Ovis aries: one gene and its partners. The protein of the gene in region 4 binds, or shares a complex with, the protein of the main gene of each other region. Links are inferred from orthologs where the notes say so. Each region holds a gene or a part of one and is shown on either strand. Other genes may lie near its edges. The genes, in order: RGL2, SOS1, RGL1, KRAS, PLAAT3 and MAPKAP1.

Evidence for each region.
Region 1: the proteins of KRAS (region 4) and RGL2 are in contact, whole or in part, in a crystal structure (PDB 8B69), measured with the Homo sapiens proteins. The link is inferred for Ovis aries from reciprocal best matches to the Homo sapiens genes KRAS and RGL2. Residues at the interface, in NP_001356715.1 of Homo sapiens: Ile24, Gln25, His27, Val29, Glu31, Asp33, Pro34, Thr35, Ile36, Glu37, Asp38, Ser39, Tyr40, Arg41, Lys42, Tyr64; in NP_004752.1 of Homo sapiens: Ile651, Arg653, Glu660, Asp661, Gly662, Ser663, Val664, Tyr665, Lys666, Ser667, Ile668, Leu669, Lys685, Lys686, Asn688, Arg689.
Region 2: the proteins of KRAS (region 4) and SOS1 are in contact, whole or in part, in a crystal structure (PDB 8BE4), measured with the Homo sapiens proteins. The link is inferred for Ovis aries from reciprocal best matches to the Homo sapiens genes KRAS and SOS1. Residues at the interface, in NP_001356715.1 of Homo sapiens: Ser17, Ala18, Ile21, Gln25, Asp30, Glu31, Tyr32, Pro34, Thr35, Glu37, Tyr40, Asp54, Ile55, Leu56, Asp57, Thr58, Ala59, Gly60, Gln61, Glu63, Tyr64, Ser65, Ala66, Met67, Arg68, Asp69, Gln70, Tyr71, Arg73, His95; in NP_005624.2 of Homo sapiens: Lys602, Trp809, Thr810, Lys814, Leu822, Met824, Ile825, Arg826, Thr828, Thr829, Thr832, Leu833, Leu872, Val875, Ser876, Asn879, Ser880, Ser881, Pro882, Tyr884, Ser908, Asp910, His911, Tyr912, Lys913, Phe929, Phe930, Gly931, Ile932, Leu934.
Region 3: the proteins of KRAS (region 4) and RGL1 are in contact, whole or in part, in a crystal structure (PDB 7SCX), measured with the Homo sapiens proteins. The link is inferred for Ovis aries from reciprocal best matches to the Homo sapiens genes KRAS and RGL1. Residues at the interface, in NP_001356715.1 of Homo sapiens: Ile24, Gln25, Glu31, Asp33, Pro34, Thr35, Ile36, Glu37, Asp38, Ser39, Tyr40, Arg41, Leu56, Tyr64, Met67; in NP_001284600.1 of Homo sapiens: Ile651, Arg653, Asn660, Gly661, Asn662, Met663, Tyr664, Lys665, Ser666, Ile667, Met668, Lys685, Asn687.
Region 5: the proteins of KRAS (region 4) and PLAAT3 are in contact, whole or in part, in a crystal structure (PDB 7C41), measured with the Homo sapiens proteins. The link is inferred for Ovis aries from reciprocal best matches to the Homo sapiens genes KRAS and PLAAT3. Residues at the interface, in NP_001356715.1 of Homo sapiens: Ala11, Gly13, Lys16, Ser17, Tyr32, Asp33, Pro34, Thr35, Ile36, Thr58, Ala59, Gly60, Gln61, Asn85, Asn86, Lys88, Asp92, Tyr96, Lys117; in NP_001121675.1 of Homo sapiens: Leu65, Tyr66, Asp67, Val68, Ala69, Gly70, Ser71, Asp72, Lys73, Tyr74.
Region 6: the proteins of KRAS (region 4) and MAPKAP1 are in contact, whole or in part, in a crystal structure (PDB 7LC1), measured with the Homo sapiens proteins. The link is inferred for Ovis aries from reciprocal best matches to the Homo sapiens genes KRAS and MAPKAP1. Residues at the interface, in NP_001356715.1 of Homo sapiens: Ile21, His27, Val29, Glu31, Asp33, Pro34, Ile36, Glu37, Asp38, Ser39, Tyr40, Arg41, Leu56, Glu62, Glu63, Tyr64, Ser65, Ala66, Met67, Asp69, Gln70; in NP_001006618.1 of Homo sapiens: Phe280, His287, Gly288, Phe289, Ser290, Leu291, Ile292, Gln293, Lys307, Lys310, Arg311, Arg312, Lys313, Gly314, Ser315, Phe363, Glu365, Ile369, Val374, Met377, Leu378, Ser380, His381, Tyr484, Glu487, Ser488.

Annotation. Positions count from the first base shown.
Region 1 is NC_056073.1:7,623,825-7,627,798, forward strand, and holds the start of RGL2 (ral guanine nucleotide dissociation stimulator-like 2), read right to left. Parts: upstream 2,801-3,974; 5' UTR 2,786-2,800; coding exon 2,507-2,785; intron 2,156-2,506; exon of another isoform or gene 2,044-2,155; intron 1,848-2,043; exon of another isoform or gene 1,807-1,847; coding exon of another isoform or gene 1,648-1,806; exon of another isoform or gene 1,378-1,647; intron 1,228-1,377; exon of another isoform or gene 486-1,227; intron 389-485; coding exon 305-388; intron 48-304; coding exon 1-47. Other genes in the region: TAPBP (tapasin precursor), read right to left, coding at 3,968-3,974. UniProt on the Homo sapiens protein: Probable guanine nucleotide exchange factor. Putative effector of Ras and/or Rap. Associates with the GTP-bound form of Rap 1A and H-Ras in vitro.
Region 2 is NC_056056.1:85,200,159-85,203,658, reverse strand, and holds part of SOS1 (son of sevenless homolog 1), read right to left. Parts: intron 1,906-3,500; coding exon 1,787-1,905; intron 879-1,786; coding exon 387-878; 3' UTR 1-386.
Region 3 is NC_056065.1:64,267,797-64,272,068, reverse strand, and holds the start of RGL1 (ral guanine nucleotide dissociation stimulator-like 1), read right to left. Parts: upstream 2,801-4,272; 5' UTR 2,632-2,800; coding exon 2,605-2,631; intron 1,637-2,604; coding exon 1,526-1,636; intron 1-1,525. UniProt on the Homo sapiens protein: Probable guanine nucleotide exchange factor.
Region 4 is NC_056056.1:190,372,588-190,376,638, reverse strand, and holds the start of KRAS (GTPase KRas), read right to left. Parts: upstream 2,801-4,051; 5' UTR 2,728-2,800; exon of another isoform or gene 2,715-2,727; intron 1-2,714. UniProt on the Homo sapiens protein: Ras proteins bind GDP/GTP and possess intrinsic GTPase activity. Plays an important role in the regulation of cell proliferation.
Region 5 is NC_056074.1:38,443,914-38,447,907, forward strand, and holds the start of PLAAT3 (phospholipase A and acyltransferase 3), read right to left. Parts: upstream 2,801-3,994; 5' UTR 2,718-2,800; exon of another isoform or gene 2,624-2,717; intron 2,617-2,623; exon of another isoform or gene 2,423-2,616; intron 2,248-2,422; 5' UTR 2,185-2,247; coding exon 2,170-2,184; intron 1-2,169. UniProt on the Homo sapiens protein: Exhibits both phospholipase A1/2 and acyltransferase activities. Shows phospholipase A1 (PLA1) and A2 (PLA2) activity, catalyzing the calcium-independent release of fatty acids from the sn-1 or sn-2 position of glycerophospholipids.
Region 6 is NC_056056.1:10,388,016-10,392,236, reverse strand, and holds the start of MAPKAP1 (target of rapamycin complex 2 subunit MAPKAP1), read right to left. Parts: upstream 2,801-4,221; 5' UTR 2,555-2,800; exon of another isoform or gene 2,419-2,554; intron 1-2,418. UniProt on the Homo sapiens protein: Component of the mechanistic target of rapamycin complex 2 (mTORC2), which transduces signals from growth factors to pathways involved in proliferation, cytoskeletal organization, lipogenesis and anabolic output.

The DNA of each region.
Region 1 (3,974 bases), on a different chromosome or scaffold from region 4:
GTGCCAGCTCGGAGTTTCCGGGAGGAACGCAGAGGAGGCCTTGGGGCCTGGGGGAGACAGAGCGCCAGCCACTGACCCTTTTTTCAACTTTCCCCCGCTAGATCTCTGGGAGAAATCCAAGACCTAGGAGATGATTCAGCCTCATTGTATTAGGATTCAGAGAGGGCAAACGACTCGAACTAAGTCACACAGCTGAGTCCAGTCTCCAAACTTCCAACCTAGTATTCTGGCCAGAAAGTCAGCAGGAGGCAGGGGAACTAGGAGGTGGTAGGTCAGAGGTGAGACGTCAAAGTTATAATCTCACCAAGGGATCAAGAGGCTGATACTGGCGACTTGTGACTGTAAAGGTAGCACCATCCTCCTCCTCCTCCCAGACAGACACAGGGGCCTGGAGGAGCAAGGAAGGGGAGGTCAGGTGGTTCCACACCCCACCCCACTGCCCAAGCCTCACCCCTAGGCCCTGCTCCTCCCTCTGTGCCCCTCACCTGTTGCGGAGGGGGACAGTACCAACGAGTACGAGGGGTGGGGGGGGGCTGGTGACCCCAGGTCTTCCCCACTGGGGCCCAGACAGCCCCCCCCAAGCCGCCTCAGGGCCCGGTGGAGTCTAAGGGGTTGCAGTGGGGAGTTGGATGGAATGCAGGAACCCTGAGCCTGGGGACCGCTGCAGCCCCTCCCCCCCAGAGCTGAACCGTGAACAGCCAAGAATCAAGGTGCAAAGGTAGGAGGAGGGGGAAGAAAGAGAGGAAGAAAGCCTGAGGCAGAGACCTTGAGAAGCTGAAACCTCAGTCACGGGCACAACCTCATGCTCCGCCCTCCCCCGCAGGAATTAGCCAAGCCCAAAGGGTAAGTCGCCTTAGCCCCCTTTCCCCGGGTCCCTCCTCAGCTCTGGAGACCCCCCTCAGGGCGGCGGCGCCGATCCCAATACAGGAAGGAGAAGGGGAAGTGGGGACGGTGTGTGTGTGTTGGAGCAGGGGGTGGTTTAGACTCACAGAGTCATGTGACCCCGGCCGCTCCCCCAACCGATCCCGAAAAACCAGCCCTGCTAGTCACCCAGTCAATCCTCACTCAGACTCTGGACAAGAGCGTCCAAAATCTCGGGGCCCCAAATCCAACTTTCGGCCCCTCTTGAGGCCCGAATCCTACTCCTGCCACGCCATTAGCCCCGAAGGGAAGCAGGTGACCACCAGCCACTCGGCCTGGGACGGCCCTCGACGGTCCGAGAGCCTCGGCTCCCCACCGCCGCCCAGCCCCAGGCGGCGGAGCGGGGAGGGGTCACGAAATAGAAGGGTTCCCTCCCCAATCCCGGAGTCTGAGGAGCGGGTTACTGTGGAAACAAACCCCTCCCTGCCAGACAGACACCCGGAGGGAGACAGGGACCTAGACTCCACGCCCGGAGGGACGGGCCACTCGGGCACGGGCGGAGAGGGCTAGGGACCCGCAGGCCGGCCAGCCACACGCGCCGGGCGGGAACGGGCCAGGCTCCTGAGTGTCGGTGCCGCACAGAACCTCGGACACGCCGGGGCTCCCCGCTGGGGGACACGGGCCGACTCCGGCGAGAGGCGCGGCAGGGGCTGAGGCAGGAAGACACGCAGGGACACAGACTCGCAGCGGGGAGAGTCTCCGGGACACACGCCGCCCGCGCCTCACCTCGTCGTCGTCGTCGTCCTCCTCCTCCTCCTGCCCCCCGCCCCCGCCCCGGCCACCGGGGCCCCCACCCTCTTCGGGGTCTCGACTCCGGAAGCTGCTCAGCACGACTCCCCCGGGGGGGCTCGTGTCCCACAGCAGCCGCAGGGGCCGCGGGAGCATGGCCGGCTGAAGGAGTCAGCGGGGTCGGGCCATGGGGGCGCCTGAGGAGAGACGAGCGGGGAGGGGGGTCAGGGGGGCGCGGGGCCCCAGAAGGCGGGCTCCAGGTAGTCTCCGGGGAGCCCCGCGGGGAGGCAGGGTCGGGGGCAACGCTGCAGGGGCACACGGGGCCTGGCGTTGTTGTGGACGGGGGTCGGGAGCACGGGCTCGGGCGGGGTTACAGGGGGCTCTGGCTCTGACCTGCTCAGGACGGGTGGGGGCAGCGCGGCTCCCGAGTTGCCGTTCCTGTCGGTCTCCGGCCCCCGATCACGTCCCCGGACCGAGCCCGTCCCCGGCTTTTCCGCACCCCCTTGTACGCCCCCCCCCCCCGCCCCGCCAGGCTCCCGGGCCCTCCCGCCCTTTCCGCTCCCCCCCGACGTCCGCCCGCCCCGAGAGCAGGAGCCAAAAAGGGAAGGAAGTGAGGACAGCAGCCAGGGCCGCGGACTTAGAGGAGCGCCGGACGCTTGGGGGCCGGGACCCAGGAGCCCGGGTCTCCAGCCCGACTGTGCTCGGGGATCCTGGAGCCCACGTTGCCCTGCGCTGAGTGGGGACAGGGATTCCCGTTTCCAGCCCCCGGGGAAGGGCGAGAGCCGAATCTGACATTCCGCTCCTCGCACACCGCGAGGCTAAAACTCCCGCAGGGAGCGTGTCACGGGGGACGGACCCAGTTTCTCCGGGCCGCGGGGGCTCCACTCCGCCCCCACCCACGCGTGTAGCGGACCAAAATCCGTTCCGGGTTTTCCGGGGAGCCCGGGGCTCCCACCGGCTCGGGAGTGGGCGGGGCAGGAAGCCGCCACTTCCGGTCCCAGAGCGCGCGCCGGGGGCTGTTTCCGGCGCCGAGGCCGGCCTCTCCGAAGCCTTGGACACCAGCGAGTGCCCGCGGCCTGAGGGCACGCTGTCGGCCGTGGGTGGCGCCCGGCTTCAGTCCCTTCCAAAGGGGCATCGGGTGCCGCCAAGGCGTTAGAGGCAGGGCCGTGAGAAGGAACCACGCGTGAGTGGAAGTGTCACAGCGCCTGGAAAGAGGGTCCCTGAGGTAGAACTGAGACGTCCCTTTGAAAACACTGGAACGAGTTTATTCCCACACGATTAGACCCGCACCCTGCGTCCGACCGACCTGGCCCTCGAAGGTCCCCCTCAGCCGAGCCGCTGCTTCCTTCTTCCAGTAGTTTATTTGATTCAACACATATTTTAATCTTTCGGACGAAAAAAGGGTAACTTCTTAAATTGAGCGCCCTCCAGCGGGCCCTGGTGCAGGCGCGGGAGACACCGCAGGGAAAGGACAGGGTCGTCCCAGCCTTCGAGGAGCCAACAGTCCGGGCAGGGAGGCAGGCTTTTAACAACGACTCGCACAATCACTTAAATACAACCGTGGTGAACCGCACTAGAGGGACACGCGGCGGTCTGAGGGGGCGAGGCTGACCTGGTCTGTAGCCCAGGCAGAGAGAACAACGCTCTGGGACCCAGAGGGAGTGGGAGGCCATTGGAGAAAAGGGTCAGCTTTAGGTGTAATGAGCATCGGGAAGGAGGGCGGGAGAGCGCTAAGCGGGCTTGAAAAGGTGCGCAGTGGCTGGAGCGCAGGGATGCACTGAGTCAGGGCAGGAAAAGAATGGATTTGGCCTTTAGAGCACCGGTTCCTGTCCCAGAGGTCCCTGAGACTATTTCAAGGGCTACGTGAGGTTTCGCCTATGTTCATAACAATCCTAAACTGGTACTTGCCTTTTCACTCTCGGTTCGCTAAAGAACCTACACTGGCGTTTTCCTGAAGCTACATGACGTGTACTGACATCGTCCCCACAGCTAACGGAACGTGTGCTTGTGTCTTTCTGTGTATTGTTCTCAGTTTTGAGAACAGTACAGTAAGTATCTGTGGCTTATAATCTACATAAGTGAAAGCTTTATAGAGTCCTTAATAATTTTTAAGAGATCCTGAGACCAAAAATTTTGAGAACCGCTGCTCTAGAGTCCTAAGGAGGTGACTGCCTAGTGTCTTTTCAGGAGGCATTCCAGTGGCTCAGTGGAGAGAGACTGGAGGGAGCAGGAACAGAGGGCATACAGTTTGGGGAGTTATTACAGTAGCTTAGACCGGAGAGGATGGTGGCTTCCCCAGGATGGTGCTGAGCTGGCCTCACTCT
Region 2 (3,500 bases), about 110 Mb from region 4:
TTTAAGATTTCTTTTTAAAAAGTGCATAATATTTTGAATTACAAAAACTGTCATCATGTGGGCCTGCTGGATACTAGACTGTTTTCCATCCCTTTAATGATAAAGATCACTTCACAAAAAGAGGACTCCTGCTTACTGGCTGGCAAAAGGTTCCTTTACTTGATTTTCCGGTGAAATCAGTTGTCCACTTCCTCTAGATCAACTTTTCCATACTCACTTTATAATTATGTCCATGTTAAAATTCATTGTCTTATGACTGCATCTTGAAGTAGAGTCGTTAGTGTTTGGAGTTTTCATTTTAACTCCTCAGTGCTGGCACGTTCAGTGCATCCATCGCCAGCAATGGATCTGGGGCTAGGAAAATGTACATCCTGATCCAGAGGAACTCAGGAAGAATGGGCATTCTCCAACAGTGGTGGTCCATCTCTGTGCACGGACGGGTGGGTGTGCTCCCTTTTGTAAGTTTTTGGAGGGAGTTTAGGGATATGCTGAGAAGTGCTTTGTCGTGGAGGAACAGGCGGCCCAGCAATGGAATGGAGGTCCACTTCTTGTGTCAATGGTGGTGACGGCAGATGCCTTCTTGTTCCATGAGGAGAAGGTGTTTGAGGAGGAGGTGGTGTAAAGGGGGAGGGGCTGTTTGGGAAGAAGGCATTACTATGGTCACTTTTTTTGCCCAAAGGGGGAGGTTGGAGATGTAGTGGTGAACTTGAGAAAACATCAGGTGTCCTCACGGGTTCTCGTGGAGGTAATAGGGGAGGGCTCTCAGGAGGGTCTGATATAGAGGTCCGGTCTGATATTGAATACCGTGGTGAATAGGCTTTTGACGTGGGTTGCCTAGGAGGAATTGCTGGGGGGCTGTCCAAATGCTTAGACATCATCTAACATAAATGGGGAAAAAAAGACATTTATTAACAACATATGTAGCACCATGAATATACTAAGAATTAAGCTGGGTTTTCAAATACGTTATTGGAAGAACTCTAGGTGTGGATCAGGGAGTTTTGCCATATGCTTTAAATTGGAGGTTATGGCAGTTCATCCATTAAAAAAATTATTTTTCCTTCAATGTTAAGTTTTTATTCTTCTCAAAATTTTGTTTGCTGCTGCTTACCTATCACTCAATCTAATATAAAATCATTTCAATTTAGCATGTTACCTATCAATTTTATAATGTTAAATTTACTATAATAGCATTTCATGGTATTCTGCAAAGAGTTTTCCCCTGCCTAGGTGCTCTGCTCTCTGGACACTTTGATACCACCGAATCATGTTAACAAGTTGGCAAAGAAAGAAATTTAAACAGGTAGGAAAAAAATAGCTATTATGAGCTGTTAAGGTCTCTTCTGACCTGGAATTTTCATGAAAATCCCACAGCCTGTCAAATTCACCTGTTACAGGCTTAGATATGTAACATTTAGCACTGAGATACAGTTTCATTTAAAACGTGCCTTCATATACAGCTTCAGATCTCTTTCTATCTTTTTACAGAACTGCTTGAGACTACATTACTCTTAAATTATAGGTTAAACTTGTGGGGTTTTTTTTTGACAGTACCCATATTTAGATTTATAAGTATTTTGAAAACCTACCAGAAAACTGCTTTCAGAAGAAAGGAAATAAACATTACTGAATGGTAAACCCATACTTAATTCTGGTTTAAACTCTATTAAGCCCCAGTACCCTGAGTATTAACCTCATTCCGTTAGAACTCAATGAGAGATGAGCACTTGATTATAATGGAACTGCAATGATTCCAGTCTCCAGATAACCAGATGTTCTACTTTACCTTAGATGGTGAAGATTCTGCTGGGGCAGACTCTGGCCGTCTTCGTGGAGGAACAGGAGGGGGGACAGGCACTTCATCAGTGCTCTTGGTTAAACTTATAGATGATACTGAAGCAGATCCTGTAGGATGGTACAATTTTGAAAAGCTCACAGGAATTTTATATCATCAATCCTGCTTATATTTATTAAAAGAAATGTACAGAAGTATCAAAAGCAGTACAATAAAGCAACACCCAACAGTACTTCCTTTATTAAAGCAAACTGCTATAAAAGCATGCAGAAATTTCTCAGCAGAGTTTTCAGAGAAAAAGCTGTCTAAGTTATTCTGTTGTTACACTTCTTGAAGAAAGTAACATTTCCATTGTTAATCTATTACTGGAATTTTCTGGGAGAGAGCAAACTATTAAAAACTTTTGGAATGGTAATTTTTGTTAACCTTTTATGATGGGTTCATTTCCCACCCCGCCCCCACCACGACTGTAGTAGTATGGAATTTCCTTGCCTTCACTGGATAGTCTTTGGGAATACTTTCTGTTCTTAACCACTCTCTCCAATGTCTCTCCCTGCCATCCTGTCCTGGGGAGGGATCTCTTCAGTTTGCTTAGGTATCAGCTCTCCTTGGTGGGGAAGCAAAGTCAGGTTCATCACATTCTAATCCAAAATTTTTCATTGTGATGAACACATTTAAAATGACTGAGGCTATGCTGATAATAAAAACAGAAATTACACTAGAATCTAGTGAACCTGATTTAGGAGTAAACTGATGAACTGGCACTAAAAAGGTAAGTAAAAGCCTCTAATTGTAACCTATCTTACAAACATTTATGATAAGGGCTTAATATAGGCATATAAATAACTACACTTTGAAAAACATTAATGTAAGTTAACCTGTACATCAGCACAATGAAAAAGATGTGAAAAAACACTTAAATGATCATTCAAAATTGTATTTGGCAGGTTTTCTTTCCTTTAAACACTGACAGTTTAAATTTTGTCAATTAAATGTTATAAGATAGAACTTAGAGTACTTTGTGTATTGATATTATTTAAATAAGCAACATTCTGATCACCTACCTTTCTTCTTATGAAACTTTGTAAGTTAGCTTATAACACTATTTTCCATTGCATACATTCTGAAATCATTTGTATGAAGGACAGCAAAAAACAATCTATTGGCTTAAAATTTATGGGATAGTTGGTGAGTTGTTAGTACTTTAAAAACAAATACCTACACTGGAACTTTATTTTGCTTGTCAGTGATGAATATTTAGGTTGTATAATACAGATAGTCACAGTGATAAGACAGCTGTTCTAAAGTCAAATAAGTCATTTGCCTACAGCCTGTGCTGTCCCCAGCCTAAGTGTATTGTGTGACTTAAGACACTGCATGTAGCTGCCAACATTCCCATATGCGCATGCATGCTCTTGCCTTTTTTTTTTTTAAGTTGGGCATTAGAACTCCAAAGTTGGAAATGAGAAATGGTTAAATGTGGAAGCCACCCATATAATAATGTTGTTTCAAAAGAGAAGAAAGGTTTTACAAAAAGCATGAGAATTATATAAGTTTAAGCAAATCATTTATGATCAAAAGATAGTACAAGTGAAGGCCTCACTTCTAAGATGCTGCAAAGCAAGGCACCAATGCTGCCAGACCCAAGACGAGTTTTAGCAGGGAAAGGTTACATTTGGTTTAATTTTTAAAGCCAAAGCAAAAA
Region 3 (4,272 bases), on a different chromosome or scaffold from region 4:
GAATCATTTTGAAATACTTGGGCCAAACCACATCAATACAGCATTTAAATAAAATGCAATACACGCAACCAACCACCAAAAATAAAGTGATGACTTGTCAGAACTCTAGTTCTGTTTTTCCTATCAGGTCTGCTGGTGATGCACCTAATTAATTCCAAAATCATATTCCGAGTAAGGTACCTGCTTAATAAGTGAAGACCTCAGGCTTTCAAAGGAAAAGCTCCTACCTTTCTAGGCCATATCTGCAGATGCACCTAACAACTGACTGCCCTAGAGGGTGGTACTTCAACCCCAAATACGCAGCCTGACTTGAAGCAGCTGGGGAAGCCCAAAGCAATGAATGCCTGTGTCAGCAACCCAGGAGACCCACGGAAGAGGAAATCATTGCTGTTGGCCATCCTGCCTTAAACTCCAGGAATTACAAGTCACATGCTGCCTCTGGTCTTAAAGCCCTGGGCAGTTTTGTTTCCTGTCCTCTTTCGCACCTGACCTTTGACTGTTGATCAAATTTAAAAAAAAAAAAAGGATTTTCTGAAATCCAAAACCAGTAGAGATTGGATGCCAGTGCATAATCTTCACTGTTCTCAAGCCCATCAGCTGTGAGGCCTGAGTATGGCCAGAATAAGGCCCAGGGAAACCACACTCCGTCCCCTCTGTTCGGCTTACAGCTATCTTCTTTCTCAAGGCTCTCTGTCACCTCACTGTTCTCGGAGGATTCCTTCTACCTCCAGATGAAGAACTCCTTCGTTCTTCCACATGATGATGTCTGCCCAGGCTTCCCACAGCCCCTTTAGTTGGGATATGCTGAAGGATCCATTAATCAGATAATGAATTAATCAGATAATGAATCTGCTTATCCATTAAGCAGATAATGAATAACTCACATGCTCTCACCCAATGCTTTAAAATCTCAGCAGAGGGAGGTGGGGGATGTTGTTTATGGAAGCAGTGTTTCTCCAAAGCCCCATCCCTCCACGCACCGGACGCATAAAGTGGTGGACACTACATACCGTGTAAAGGATGTAACCGTGGGAAATGCGCCATCCCCCATAGGAGGCCGATTTGGAGTATCAGCGCCCCTGAGCATTCTGGGTACTTGGTCAAGGAACAGGAGTGGGAGAAGGGCTGTCAGGATCAAAAGCGGGGGAGACAAAGAGAAAAGGATGGCAGCGGGGCAAAACGGCTCTTGTCTGACTCGGTGCTATCTGCTGATCCTGTTAATCTATGTTACTTTCTGCCACTCCACCCTACTCTACTCTCCAAATACCTCAAGATGTTTCTAAGAGGTTCTGAATTATTGACAAACCTAAGGGAGACGCTTCGGCAAAGAATAAATACAAAACCAGACCGGTATGGCTAGTGCAAACACTTGCTCATTGGCAGTTTCCTTTTTAAGGCCAAAAGAGAAGAAATGGAGGGAAAAAAAAAAAAAAAAAAAAAACCTGCCTCTGCTAAATAATAATGATATTCACAGAGCAAGAGGCCCTGCAAGTCCAAGGCTCACAGTCTCCCCAGCTTTACTCACCCCGAGCCATCTCGCTCCTTTATTGGCAGCCTGTTGAATCTGGACTCTCTTGAGGGTGACATGGTAAACAGCTCCTTCCTCTACCTCTTCACCCCAGTCCTGAATCGAGCTCTGCCAGGAGACAGGACAAAGAAACAGAAAAAGTTGTTTGTTTGTCTGTTTTTTCCCTCTCCGCTAACCAATCTATCCCAGCTGCTTTGCTGCTTACAGCAGCACTCAGGGCATAAGATGGGCTGTTCAAAATAAATATTACAATCAGGGCAACATAAGACACACTGTGATAGAGGGAATACTGAGATTTTCTTGGCCCTCCAGCCCTTTGCTATGCTATCAAGAGCCCAGGACTTTTCCATTTAGTTATTTTTCCTAGGCTCCTTCACTATCTTAAATACCTTTTTAAAGTCTTTTTTTCTTTCTTAAAGAAACTGAAGTTTAGTCCTGGTTCACTTTTCCTCCTTAAATGAGAGGAAAAAGAATTCACTGGCAGAAAAAGTTTGTCTCTTTACAAGTGGCTCCGTTCTTGGAGCAAACTGCATTTTAAACTCTGCCACAAAAAAGTGTTTAAAATGCTAAGAGTGCTCGCTCCTTTGGAACGAAATGCTTCGCATGTCTTTTTTCTCCTCTTATTGTTTGGGAACCCAGAAAGTTAGCGGGAGGGAAAAAGTTTTTATTTCCGTCAAATAACCTGGCAAGTGCAGAAAAAAAGCAACACATCGGCTGCGTGCAGCGACCCCCTGGATTTCCCTAAACTTGAAGTTTGTGTTTAAAGAGCCGCTGGGACTCAGAGGCGCTCCGCGGTTCACCCAGACTCACAGACCTCTTGCCTGAAAAGTTTTTCTTTGCTGACATACATCAGCCCAGATACACCAAAGGCAACTGCTGAGAAAAATAAGTATGGTTTAAAGGGAGAAGACACGCAAAGAGGAAGGCGGAGAAAGCCGAGAGAGAAAGCTCTGAGCTCCAAAGTCTGGGATCGGATGGCTCCGTTCACTCCGAGGGAGTCCAAAACCCGCCCAGAGAAAGCGGGAGAAGATTCCCCACCAGAGCAGCGTCGGGAGAAGGCAAAGAGTTCTCGTTACCATTTTAGCTTGCCAAAGCAATTTCATTCTCAGTTTTCTCTCCGGTGTGTGGACGCGGCATGATGCACCCCGCTCCCAGGCGAACGCGATCCCCGCGCGTCTCCGCCGCGGCGCCTCCAAGCCCCGGCCCCGCGCGGCCGCCGCGCACGGAGCACAGACACGCGCCCGCCGCCGCCGGTGCGCGCGACTCGGCCACAAAGGGAGCGCGGCGAGCGAGGGCGCCGCAGACTCCTCCCCACGCCACCCCGCCGCTCCGTGATGTCAGGCTTTCCTGTTTGTGCTCGGGAGCACACTCTCCCTTTCTGAAATCCCGCGGATAAAGTTAGCACGCCGTGATTTCTCCAGCTCTGAATTCGATCGGCAGCCAGCCACCCTTGCTAGTGGATCAGGTTTTCCTGATTGGCCACCAGGTGCCCCCAAAAGATCCGGGTGTGGTATCGGGGATCTAAGTGTGTTTTTCCTTCCTTCGCTCAAAGAAATAAAGGGGGAAGCGGTGCAAAAAGGGATGGGAGGAGGGGGTCGGATAAACGTCTATTATCTGCTTGTTACCTATGGAATTTAGATTCAATAAGGGCGACCCCAGTGAGAACGGCAGTACTAGAAGCCAGCAAGCTTTTCATAAGGACACACAAAAAAAAAAAAAAAAAAAGAGAGAGAGAGAGAATTGGTCAGAGGGTATTCCAAAACCCACGCCCCAAGGATGCGCTTGTTCTGAACCAGCACACCACCAACAGGAAATGCCTCTGGACGTCTTTCTAGCCCCCCATAGTTTAAGGCTCATCAACTGTAACTGGCCACTGTGGCAGGGAAAGGGGCAAAGCAGGAGAGAGTTCTGCTGAGACTGACAGCGTGGAAATTGGGCCACCGGCGGCCCGGAGGTTCCGTGAGTCTTTGTGAGTCGTCACCATGGGTTGAGTTGTCTGTACTGTAGGGACACCGTGGGATGATAACCTCGGGGAGAGAGCCATTCGGAGGACACTGCCGGAGGGAGTTTTGTCCTAACAGAAAGTAAATCAACAGCGAAATTCCAGATGATAATATAATCAAACATTGGCACATGACAGAATTCCATGCCAATTGCAAAAAAAAAAAAAAAAAAAAAGTTTAGCGCTCATGTCTTTTATACTGTTCTCCCCTAAATGAATTTAATAGCCTTTAAATTTTTTTTAAAAGAAAGGCCTCTCACTAATTGCCATGCCGAGGCATAAGGCTGGGCTTTGGTTAATAATAAATGTATTATGAACTGAAAAGCTAGAGAATTCAGTGTACTGGTGTTCCCAGGAAAGCAAAAATAAATGACAGTGAGGGTGCATCCAGGAAAAATAAAAAGATCTTTGGACACTTCAGAACTTCTTGAAGTCACTCAGCAAAGTTCCCCACAAACCACCACAAACTATTGGACAGAAGGGATGCTCTTTTTATCAAGCTTTGATTATTTCTATTTTTACGAAAGCATGTAAACTTGACCTTTCAATGACCACCAGCATAGCGTGTCCCCAGTGTCCAGCGGAAAATGGTGTGGAAGACCTACCACCTGCCTCTTAAGCCATTCCAGGAGCACCCCTATTCAGTGATCCTGAAGAACACAAGATAAACCTGGGGACAGTTAAACAACCCATCAGATTAATTTCACAACTACTTTAACCTGATTTTTGGCTGTGAATTTGG
Region 4 (4,051 bases):
TTCAAGAATGTACTACACGGTAAGTAGTTCCAGATTAATGAAAGTGCAGATATACTATACAACATCATACACATGCAGCATCCCATTTACTGAAGACCAAGAATCTTCCCAGTACGCACCCCACCACCCCACCACATCCTTGCTCTGGCTCTACTTCCTGAACCCATTCCCAAAGAGCAGACAGGCCCAGCAACTGCTGTATCACAGTTCCTCATGGGCCTGCTCTGTGCCACCCAGGCTTGTCTAGGGCCACCGCCAACATGCATTATGTCCTGTTTTGCTCCCTCTTTTCATTCCTAATATTGGCATTAGCAAATGTGATAGGTGAGGATAATCACACCAAAACATATCCTCTAGTTCCCTGCCACCCCACCCCTCCAATAAAATCTGGATAGCCTAGAAGAGTAGTTCTTAAAATGTGGTATAGGAACCCACCAGGGTTCCCAAGACTTTTGGAGAGGGTCCAAGAGGTAAAACCTGGTTTGATGATAATGGTATGAGGTGATGTACCCTTCCCACTCTTATTCTTTCACAAGTATATACAGTAGAATTTTCCAGACCTGTGATCACAATACATTGACTATAGAAGCAGCTATGAGGATCCAGCTATCTTCTACGAAGCCATACAATTAGAGAGATTAGTGAAAGTGTGAAACAATGCCACTCTTCTCGCTAACTGTTGCATTTGTTTTGGAAAACAGTTACTTTTCATTAAATATTCTATTTCTGTTACCAAGTAAAGGGCTAATTATTTCTTTTTAAAATGAATTAATAGTTTAATTCTCCATTCTAATTTCTGTTGTGGCAATACTGACACACTCCACATTGGGATCTTCAGTAATTTTGAAGAGTCCTTATGGCCAGTAAGTGAGCCAGTCTAGGGGAGACTGTGGACAAATACTGGATTAGTGCTTAGCTTGCAGATACACATGTGAATTCTCAACACCACACACTTTCTGGTCTACTTTTTTATGCAGTGGTTATTTCTGAAAAAAATCTTTCACTTGGATTTCAAAAATCAAGTTTCTTTAATCCACTAGAGAGAAATGGGTTGCCATGGAAAATCACAGGCCAAAGGAGTTCTCCGTGTCCAAAGCTACATAAGCTAGTAAGGGGTGGAACTGGGACCAGAACTGAGCATTTCATTCAGGCAAAAAATGTTCATTTTTTTGACCATTAAAAAAAATGAATTATCACTTCATCTACTGTCTCTTAAAACCAGGAATGCCTGTGGACGGATACAGTCTAAGGTAAACAGTACTGCTATCAACCATTTTTGACGTCTCTAGTCCACTACACATTCGAGTCAGCATTTTGGACCTTAGTCACCTAAGAATGACATCACTCATAAGGTTGATTCTGAGATGATGACTATGAACAGAATTTTTTCCCTTTGTAATTTCTTTTGAACAATTTTTTCTTTCATTACAAATGTAACATGTATAGTAAGTAAAAACTAGAAAATGCGTTTTTGTTCTTAACCACTCGTTTTGGTGGATATCAAGATTTAAGAAGGCCAGTTTAGGACTTCACCTGCACCAATGCACATGCCTCAGAGTATTTCAGGCACTTGGCTGGCAGATTGCTACAATTAACTTCTCTTGTAGGTCGCTTTTGGAAAAAAAAAAAAAAAAAAGGCCTGGGAACCGTTTAGGAGTACTGTAATAACTCCTGGGCTGGGGGTCCAATTTGTACGCATAAGGGTAATACAGAAGGCATGGGGGAAAGGAAAACAGGCAAATTAAACTTCACGTGCAATTTTAACTACCGCTGTTCACACTCAACTAGCAGGGAAAGAGCCCTGCTTCTGCCGTGCGGGTTTGCTGTGTGTGTTTTAACTTGACAAAGCAAAGCAGACCTTCTGGGATTAACTTTTTCCTTTACACGAAGTCCAGGCTTTACGTTGCAGGGTGTTGGCCACCTGTTCTTTCACCACCATCTCTACCTCCACCACCTCCTTTGTGGCCACAGCAATGTCACAGCCCATACGGGGGGGAGGGGAGCCGTCAGGAACTCGGCTGCAGATGCATTTTTTCCAAACACAATAACCTCCATCAGTGGTCTCTAAGCACTTTCCCCTGCGCTTCCAAAAGGCGACCTCACCTCTTAACTCTTCTATCCGCCCTACACACTGAAAAAGGACCACAAGCCGTCCAGTCTGCGCTTGGGGGAGAAGTTTATACCTTCGTCCCAGAGATGAGAGATGCAGCAGAGAAGGCAGCAACCGAGGCAGCCCAGTACTAGGAAGGGAAGAAGAGGTGCGGGAGCGGAGAGGAGGGTGAGGGAAGGACGGCGAGGGGGAGGGGAGGCTGGAGCGCCGCGGGAGTAACCTCCACCGCACCCGACCGCCCAGAGGGGCGGCCCGCCCGGCCCGCGAGTTTCTCCCCGGCCGCCTCCAGCCGCGGCTCTCGGGAGGAGGAAGGAAGGGGTTCCCCGTCCAGGAAGCAGCCCCAGCGGCGGCCGCCTCCAGCCTCACCCTCCTCAGCCCCGCACCGCCCATTCCTCATTCCCCGCGTCGCCGCGTCTCCCCCTGCAGACCGCCCCCCCAACCGGCCCCGTCCGCCCGGCGGCCCGCCCGCCCAGGCCCCGCACCCGCGCCCCCTTCCCGCCCCTCCAGGGACCCCTAATTCATTCACTCGCCGCCGGCCCCGCCCGGCGCCGGCGAGGAGGGTCGGGACCCCGGCAGGAGCCGCGAGGGGTGGTCCGCTCTGTACCTCTCTCCCGCACCTGGGAGCCGCCGAGCCTCTGGCCCCCGCCGCTGCCTTCAGTGCCTGCGCCGCGCTCGCTCCCAGTCCGAAATGGCGGGGGCCGGGAGTACTGGCCGAACCGCCACCGCCACCGAAGCCGCCGCCGCCACCGCCGCCGCCGCTGTGCCTCCGCCGCCGCGGCCGCCGCCTAGGAAAATCGAGCTCCGAGCGCACCGATGAGTTCGGGGCCGGGCGGCCGCAGAGGGCAGAGCTATCGATGCGCTCGGCGCTCGATTCCTCTCCAGACGGGAGTGCGGCTGAGGGCGATGTGGGAAGAGGGAAGAGCGAGCCTGCTAGCGCCGCCGGGAAGAGGGAGGGGGGCCGGCCCGGGCCGGGGAGGGGGCGGACCAGGCCGGCGGAGGAGGAGCGGGGGCCGGCGCGGCGGAGGAAGCGGGCGGCTGGGGCCGTGGAGGGTGGGGACGCGCGGCCGGCGTAGTGGCAGAGAGGTTGGCTCTGGGAGGTGCCTCGGCGCGCGCGGGTGGGGGCGCCGGCGGATCCACGCGGGGCCCGCCCCCAGGCTCCAGCCGCAGGGCAGGCCAAGAGCCGCAGCCTCGGACCCCGGCCGGCGCGGGCTCGGTACCCCGGCGATGCCGAGGCCAGCGCCGCCCTGCTGTCGGGGCCACACGGTGGAGCTGCGAAAATCCCGCCACCCATGGGGTCGGCCTGCACTTGGGTACATTCATTTACAATCATTTATTGCAAGTGAATAAACATGCAGTCACCCAAAGTAGGAGGCAACTTGGGGGACCTCGGAAGAGACCTGGCCGCCAGTTCCCTGGCCCGGAGCTTTCTGAGCACACCTGGATGATTACCAGTCTCCACAATCGGGGGCTGAGAGCTAGCCCCAAGCCCAGACAAACGCGACAAAATCTTTCACCACTAATTAAGCGGGGGGCGGGGGGGTGGAGGGAGCGGCGGATCTGTTGTTTTCTGTTGTTATTTTTATGTATATTTCGAAGCCATCGCGGGTCACTCAAAACGGCGACCTCAGATATACCTATGGCACCTGACAGTACAAGCAGACGACAGACTATTTTTAAATAGAAGTGCCCTTAATAGTCTAGACTTGAGGAGAATCATTCAAACATTAATTAGAAGACAGATTAATCAGTTAACGTTCGGGGAGTTAGCACGTTAAACAATGAAACAATTAAACATAACTCTAGTATGCCCAGAGTCTGCGTTGATAAACTATCTATAAAGGTTTGGGGGAGTGTTTTTTTAAAATTGAGGCCTGGCAGACTGGCGCTTATACCTAGTAGGACCACCCATCTGAGTCTCTGCTCATAGGTCTGTCCTTCTAA
Region 5 (3,994 bases), on a different chromosome or scaffold from region 4:
TAACCTCCAACACACACAGACTCAGCTCCATGTGTCTGCTCCAACAGTAAGTTCTGAATGGCTCAGAATGGTTCAAGTTCACTTTCAGGACAGTTTGGGCTACCAATCCCTCTCTACATTTTCCTGTGTTTAAACAGAAGACAAGCGTCTGCGCTCCCAGCACCAGAAGAAAAGAGACTAAAAGAGAAGTGTCTGAAAGTCTGAATCAATTTCACTGGGAACTAAACTCTCATTCTAAAGCAATGGACTAAATAAATGTCAAAGTTCACCATCATTCAGCCATTTTCTCTGATTTTTGCCAAAGAAGAAAAACTGGGGAGAGTTTTACCAAATAAAAAATTATGATGGATTTTCTGGTGAAGATGTTTTAGTCAAAATGTTTTAAATGTGGATATATTTAAAAGCCACTAGAATGGATAAACAACGAAGTCCTACTGTATAGCACAGGGAACTATAGTTAATATCCTGTGATAGGTTATAATGGAAAAGAACATTAAAAAGAATATATGTGTGTATATGTATATAACTGAATCACTGTATTGTACAACAGAAATTAACACATTATAAATCAACTATACTCCAATAAAATCAATTTTAAAAAGAAAAATAAAAAAATCAGAAATTCTCTAGCAGTCCAGTGCTTAGGACTCTCTGATCTCACTGCCTAAAGCCTGAGTTCTACCCCTGGTCAGGGAACTGAATCCCGCAAGCTGAACGGCACAGACAAAAAACAAACAAACCAAAAACCTAGAGATCAACAAACATAAATTAAAAATAAAAGCCACTAGAATTAATTTTTTAAGACATAGGCAGCATTGCAGTTTCTGGAATTTATTACAAAATGGGATTTTTATTAATCTCTGGCAAACCGATTCTAATGTTTAAGGCTTTTCCTATTTGTATATCTGTTGTTTCATATGAGAGAAGCTTTTGAAATTAATAAAAAGTGTTCTTCAATCAACTGTGAGCCAAGACAGATTGACAAGTCTGCCTCTACTGAGAGTTGCATATGCAAAGAAGATCAGTTTTGTCAAAGTCAAGGACAACTTTTCAGAAGAAGTTCCAAAACAGAAACTATAATGTTGTCATTATTCATGAGTATAACCAACCTAACTTTAAGAACAAGTTTTCTTCTAAATTACATTAATGCAACTAAAAACTATTAACCCATTACCCATTCTTCTATTAACTATTAACCCGTTCTTCTCTATAACATCTACCCTACTTTTCAATTTTTATTTTTCCACTGGCGTGATTTCATATACAAAGCTCAACAGAAGCAACTTTACTGTGTTTCTTTTCCGGCCATTACTAAATATTTATTTCATGATTATTACTGAAAACAATGTTGTTAGATAACGAAGAGGGATGTTTTTAAATGACCACTCCCGGCATCAAATATGCCAGGTACACCCTAATACCAGGCATGCCTTAAGCTCTTTACACGGATTAAACCATAATCATAATCAGAACAATGAATTACAGGTGAGCACTTAATATGCGTGCAAAGCACGTTCTGAGCACTTCAGAAGTATTAAGTCACATAATCGTCACTCTGGGACTGGAAACGTGATCAACGTGCCACAGCTAGGGAACAGGATGGTGAACATGATCCCAGGGGTGTCTTCCTCAAAAGCCGGGCTCAGAACCTCTCCGCAGAGGGTCCTGATCGGTTGAAAGGAAGCATGTACTAAGCCCCTTTATGATTTCTGAACCACATCACAGATTAGAGATAGGAAAAGTGAAAGTTGGGAAACTGCTGGCAGGGCGCCGCTGAGGCCAGAAAAATGCCCCTGTGGTTAAACCCAGGCGGTGGGGGCGGGGTGGGTGCAGCAGGTGCAGCCAAGACATGCTGCTCCAGGAGCCCCTCCAGGTGCTCTGGTCTGACTCAGGAAGGCAGACAGGACCTTGGCGGAGCAAGTCTCTCCTTGCTGCCTCCCAGCTCCGGTTGGCCCTGCCTTCCCCGGCTCCTGTTTCAGGCAAACAGGACCTGACCATACAAGTACTCACACTAGGACAATTCTAACCACTGACCGTCTCACGCCTGATGCCCACCTCACCGGCCAATGGAGGTGTGGCCCGAACATCCTCAAGGACCCCTTCTCTGATGACTCAGACCGACCCAGACACGGCCCCCACCCCCAGCCCACGCACAGCCGCATTACTTACAAAGGGTGCACGCATCTTCTTGGGTGATGGCGGCCCTCGATTTCAGGCTGGAGTTGACTTTATCAGCTGTGTAAATGCCTGAGGCAGGAGGGAGAGGGGAGTCACCGTCAGTAACAAGAAACCGTGTCCCCAAGACCCCAGGGGCCAGTGACTTCTGGCGGAGGAGACCGTGCCCAGTTGATCTCCAAATTCTCGCGCAACGACCGGCTCACTCCATTCCAGTTCCTTGCCGGTCCCCTCCCAACCCCTGCACCTGGCCATGAACCCTCGCAGGGCGGGCAGGAAGGTTCACCGGATACCGGAGAGGCTGGCGGTGCAGCGGCGGGGAGCGCGGTCGGTGTCACCTGCTCTGGCGGCCGCGCCCCAGAAAGTCCGCGGCGCCGCGCCCGCGCGGCCCTTCCTCCCGGCCGCTGCGCTCAGCTAAACCGAACTAACTTGTTTACTCCGGTCTCACCCAAGTCCTCCATCCCCCACACAGCCTGGGACACCGGGAGAGCCACCCCAAGCGTCTCACCCTCCTTACGAGCTGGGATTACTGCTCCACCCACCTCGCGAACTTAGAAGGCAGTAGCGGCCTCCACCAGGAAGGGAACCAGTTAAATGGCCGCAGAGTTCAGGCCCGCATGAGGTCACCCGGCCCCTCCCCGTGTGGCTGATTAGAGCCTCGCAGAGCTCACGCCCAGGGCGACAGGGACAGCCTGCTCCGGCCTCTGGGGCAGACAGGCCAGGATGCTTTCCGCTCACCGCGAACCCTCTCCACACACACTACCCTGAGAAGAGGAGCCCCGAAAACCCAGCTCGGGGCCACCCCCGCGCAATATTTTAAGATCTCGTATACCTATCTATAGAGAAGGCGATGGCACCCCACTCCAGTACTCTTGCCTGGAGAATCCCATGGACGGAGGAGCCTGGTAGGCTGCAGTCCATGGGGTCGCGAAGAGTCAGACACGACTGAGCGACTTCCCTTTCATTTTTCCCTTTCATGCATTGGAAAAGGAAATGGCAACCCACTCCAGTGTTCTTGCCTGGAGAATCCTAGGGATGGGGGAGCCTCGTGGGCTGCCGTCTATGGGGTCGCACAGAGTCAGACACGACTGAAGCAACTTAGCAGCAGCCGCAGCATACCTATCTATACATATCGCACTGCAGAGTAATCAGTTTGCTCATCCCCTCAAGTGGGCTTATCCTGTGGTTTAAAACTACCGCAGACCTCCGTTATCCACGAGTTCTCTATCTGCCCTCTGCTGGGTAAAAAAAAAAAAAAAAAAAAACAAGAAGAGACAGAACTATGGATAAGCTGAGATTATTTTAGGGTTCTGGACTTCCGGTTTGGGGCATTCCCTGGGGATCTGGGAACACATCCTCTTAGGATAAGGGGGCACTGTATATTAAATTTTAAGGCCATTTAAAGGCAAGGGCCTAGCAGAGAGGAAGTATTTTTAACTATTGGGTCCCAAGCCATCAGATGTCCCTCAAATCTGGCACCAACCTGGCACATGGTAGGCATTTCATGAATGAAGGAATGAATGACCAAACACAGGCCCTTCTTGTGCACTGGGCTGTGACTCTGCAGGGGTAAAAGTTGTTCTGGTATACCACTACTTCCTGACCCTTAGCTGCTCGCACTGAGCTTGGAATCAGGCCAAATCCTGAACCTGGCTACCTACAGGGTCAAGAGCACCCTTCCCTCTCTGAGCCTCAGTTTGTTCATCTGCAAACTGGAGTGCTGATGATATTGTACAATATGTAAGATAATGTATAAAAATATACACAGCATTGCTCTCAGACAGGCTTCTCAGGTGGCTCAAGTGGTAAAGAATCCACC
Region 6 (4,221 bases), about 180 Mb from region 4:
CTACAGTCCATGGGGTCACAGAGAGTCATACACAACTGAGGGACTAACATACACACATCCCCACTCAAAGAAGCAAAGGCTTGCTTTATTCAGGCTGGTCTACTCACCACTCTAAAACCATGCCTCAGGCACTGCACCTTTACAGCTTAACAGCCACCATCTTAGGGAACCTTGCCACATACCAGGCACTTTATCCACATCAGCTCACATTACTCCGTGAAGTCTATCAGTCTCTATCTCAAACTATACTTGAAAGAAATAATGCTAAGAATTAAGAAACTTGCCAAAGGTCACATAGCTATTAAGAGGAGGGACCAAGAATTGAAGTCAGAGTCCATGGCTATTCTCTACAGAATGTTCGGTCCACTCATATCCAAAGCTAGGCTGACCCACATACTACCATCTTGCCTTGGAAGGTTATGGTCTTCTCTACATTTAAAGAACTATCTGCACCATTCATTTTGACACATATTTTCTTCTCTGAATAGTTGCTTCAATATGTATTTGCATACAGAGAGCTACGGTGTGAGAAAAGAAAAAACACATAAAAGGCACAGATATAGGCATAAGACACACGTGGGTCTGCATCCTGGTTCCGTCTCATACCAGGTGTGTAATTTATCCTGAGCCCTCCTGATCAGTGAACTGAAGTTAAAATAATTAAACAAAAGAAACCTAACATAATTTCTCCAATACCCCACACTGTGAAGCCTTATCAGGTCATTGTACATGCCTCAAAAGTGGATGACCTCTTCCCCTCCTGTACCACCACTGAATCACCGAAAGAACTCCAACCCAGTGTACATACCACTCTGTCAGAATTATTTCCTATCTTTTTCACTAAATTGAGCAGGCAAGAACTGAGTCTTGTTTCTCCCTATATGGTCTAGCATGGTACTTGATATATGTTGTTGTTTTTCAGTCACCCAGTCGTGTCTCTTTGCGACCCTATGAACTGCAGCATGCCAGGCCTCTCTGTCCCTGACGATCACCCACAGTTTGCCCAAGTTCAAGTCCACTGCATCAGTGATGCCATTCAAGCCATCTCATCCTCTGACATCCTCTTCTCCTGCCGTCAATCTTTCCCAGCATCAGCAACTTTTGCAATGAGTCAGCTGTTCACATCAGATGACCTCGAATGTATCCATACTCAATGTTTGCTAAGGGAATCAACTGGGTTGGCCAAAAAGTTCATTCAGGTTTTTCTGGACGATGGTACGAAAACCCAAACAAACTTTGTGGCCAAGCCCATAGAATAATGAGCATTTAAAGGATTCTAGAAAAGAAACCATTTCTAGCTGAGGTTGTGCTGAACTGCTTGAGGCAAGGCCAATTTCAGGTGGGCGCTGGGTAACACCAATAGATGGAAATAGGAAAGGAGAAATCTAGGCATAAAGAAAGTGCTAACAACAAAGGAAAGGACAAAGCCCATTCCAGGTCCTACTTATCTAGAGTGAAGAATCAGGGTAAGAGGCCTTTTGAAGCTTAGCTGGAAAGTTAGCCGGAGCCAGATCAGAAACCAGATCAGGAATCTGAATACCCTCCAGCATCACGGTAGATGAAAGTAAGTATGAGCATAAATCTGAAAGGGAAAGGAGCCACCAGCAAGTCTCACAGGCCCCAATAAGCCTACAAGTGTGTAAACTGAACAAGATGAAAACAAGTATCGATCCTTCATCAACAACCCTTCCAGCATTTACTGATCATCTTGTGTGAACTCACAGAATATGAAGAATAGAACATGGTGCCTCCTTTCCCTGCTGCTCTACATTAGGAATCCATCCCTTCTGCTTGTCAAAACAGAGTAAGAATGTTGACTTTACTTTAACTGATGTGTGTAAACACCTGTCTCCATTTGACTGTTCACACCTGAGGAAGTTTTGAACTTTGCTGCTTTTGGTTTACAACATGATGCTTTTGCACAGTACCAAGTATTGTGATAGGCTTCAAAAATCACTTCATTCAGAATGAAACCTGTGCCAATCTCTGAGTCAACTTTTGGGCCTCCGGTTAAAGTAATGCTTCTGTTTAAACTACAGTGATATTTTCTTTTCCAGCCTTAACCAGATCTAGAAGACTCTATGCCACTCCCATAAACAAAAGGCTGAATCAAAGTTCCAGCAGCACTCTGCCTATTAAAAAAAAAAAAACAGTTCTAAAAGGCTGTTTTACTCCTTTGGGGCAATGGAGATAAGGGGCGTTAGACAGGGAATGCACAAGCAATGATTTTAAAAACCTGATTTTCATGTTATGAAGATTAAGACACCGAGTAGAACCAGAAACTGTCAGTCAACAGTACCCTCCCCAAACCCCGATACTACCGAGTCCACTAGCTTCTCCTCCCCCAAATCACACTCCCAAGCTGTCAGATTCATAACAGCCTTCAGTTCTGGAAAGGGCCAGGAAACGGATGCTCACTGGATACTGGAGCAAGGGCCAGACAGGCTGTCCGCCCCGCGGCGGCGAGCGCGGAGAAGTGAGGAGGGAAGCCAGGCTCCTTCGGTGGGCTGGCGGGGGTGTGAGCGATGGAGCTAGCGGCTGGGGCAACCTTTACCTGAAGCTGCTGCCACACTACGGGCCGGGATGGCCTTGGGACACGTTCCTGGGGGGAGGGCCCGGCTCCCCCGCGCCCCCCGGTCCCTGCCCCAGCTCCGCACTCTCGGAATCCTCAGGGACTGGCGCTCCTCCCGGCCGGCTCACCAGCCGCTTTCCGGACTCGCCCTCATACCCCTGCCGCTCGCTGCCGCTGGCCGGCCAAGCAGCAGCCCCGTTGCCCCGAGCCGCGCCACGACCCGGAACCGCACCCCGCGCACCGGAAGTCCCCGACTGGGAAGCAGCCGTTGGCTGGGGACGTAGTGCGCAAGCCCCAGAGCCGAGAGCGGGCTGGGAAGCCCTCCCGGGAGGCGGGGCCGAACGGGACGCCGTGCGCGCGCACCACTTCCCCGCCCCCAGGCAAGGCCTGGGTCAGAGATTAGCTGGGATACTGGCAAAACACGGAGACTTCGAGGTTTGCGTTGTTTAGAAATCCACGTCAGCCTTCTCCGTCGAACCTCCTCCTCTCTCCCCACGTCCACGGAGAAAAGCCCTCAGTTCTTTCAGAAATGAGCGATGAGGAGCTTAGTTTCTTGAATCAGGAAGAGCTGGTTCAAATGCCCGCTCTAACTTGCTGTGTGTCCTAGGACAAAACACTCCCTTCTCTGACCCATCCATCGAGTAGTTCCAAATTTAGAGTACTGCTGTGAGAATCGAGTGGGATGATGCTCTAAAAACACTCGGCACAGTGCCCAACACTTAATAAACTTAGTAAATGTTAGTCATTATTCTTATTTTCTGTAAAATGAAGGTAATTATCATCCCAGGAATTCAGGGAGTTCCATGAGATGTGTGGACCCGCCCCAAACAGGAACTCATTATTCCCCCTCTTTCTGTCTTCAGGGAATCAGTGGGGACGCTACTACTAAGGGGAAAGCAGTGCAATGATATGATACCTCTCCTATCTGAGAGATGATCTGGAAAGTCTCTCTTAAAAATGCACCTTAGCAAAAGAAAGAAAAAAACAAGTCTGAATTTCACCTCGGGGGGACCTTAGCGGGCATGCATGCACGCTCAGTAATGTCAGACTCTGGGATCCCAAGGACTGCAGCCCTCTAGGCTCCTGTGTCCATGGGATTTTCCAGGCAAGGGTACTGTGCTGCTGCTGCTAAGTCACTTCAGTCGTGTCCGACTCTGTGTGATCCCATGGATGGCAGCCCACCAGGCTCCCCCATCCCTGGGATTCTCCAAGCAAGAACACTGGAATGGGTTGCCATTTCCTTCTCCAATGCATGAAAGTGTAAAGTAAAAGGGAAGTAGCTCAGTCTCTGTCCATGGGATTTTCCAGGCAAGGGTACTGTATTGGGTTGCTATTTCCTCCTCCAGGGATCTTCCCAACCCAGAGATCCAACATGCCTCTCCTGCATTGGCAGGCAGATCCTTTACCACTCCCACCTGCTGCTGCTGCTACTGCTGCTGCTGCTGCTGCTGCTGCTAAGTCACTTCAGTCGTGTCCGACTCTGTGTGACCCCATAAGATGGCAGTCCACCAGCCTCCCCCGTCCCTGGGATTCTCCAGGCAAGAATACTGGAGTGGGTTGCCGTTTCCTTCTCCAATGCATGAAAGTGAAAAGTGAAAGTGAAGTTGCTCAGTCCTGTCCAACTCTCAGCAACCCCATGGACTGCAGCC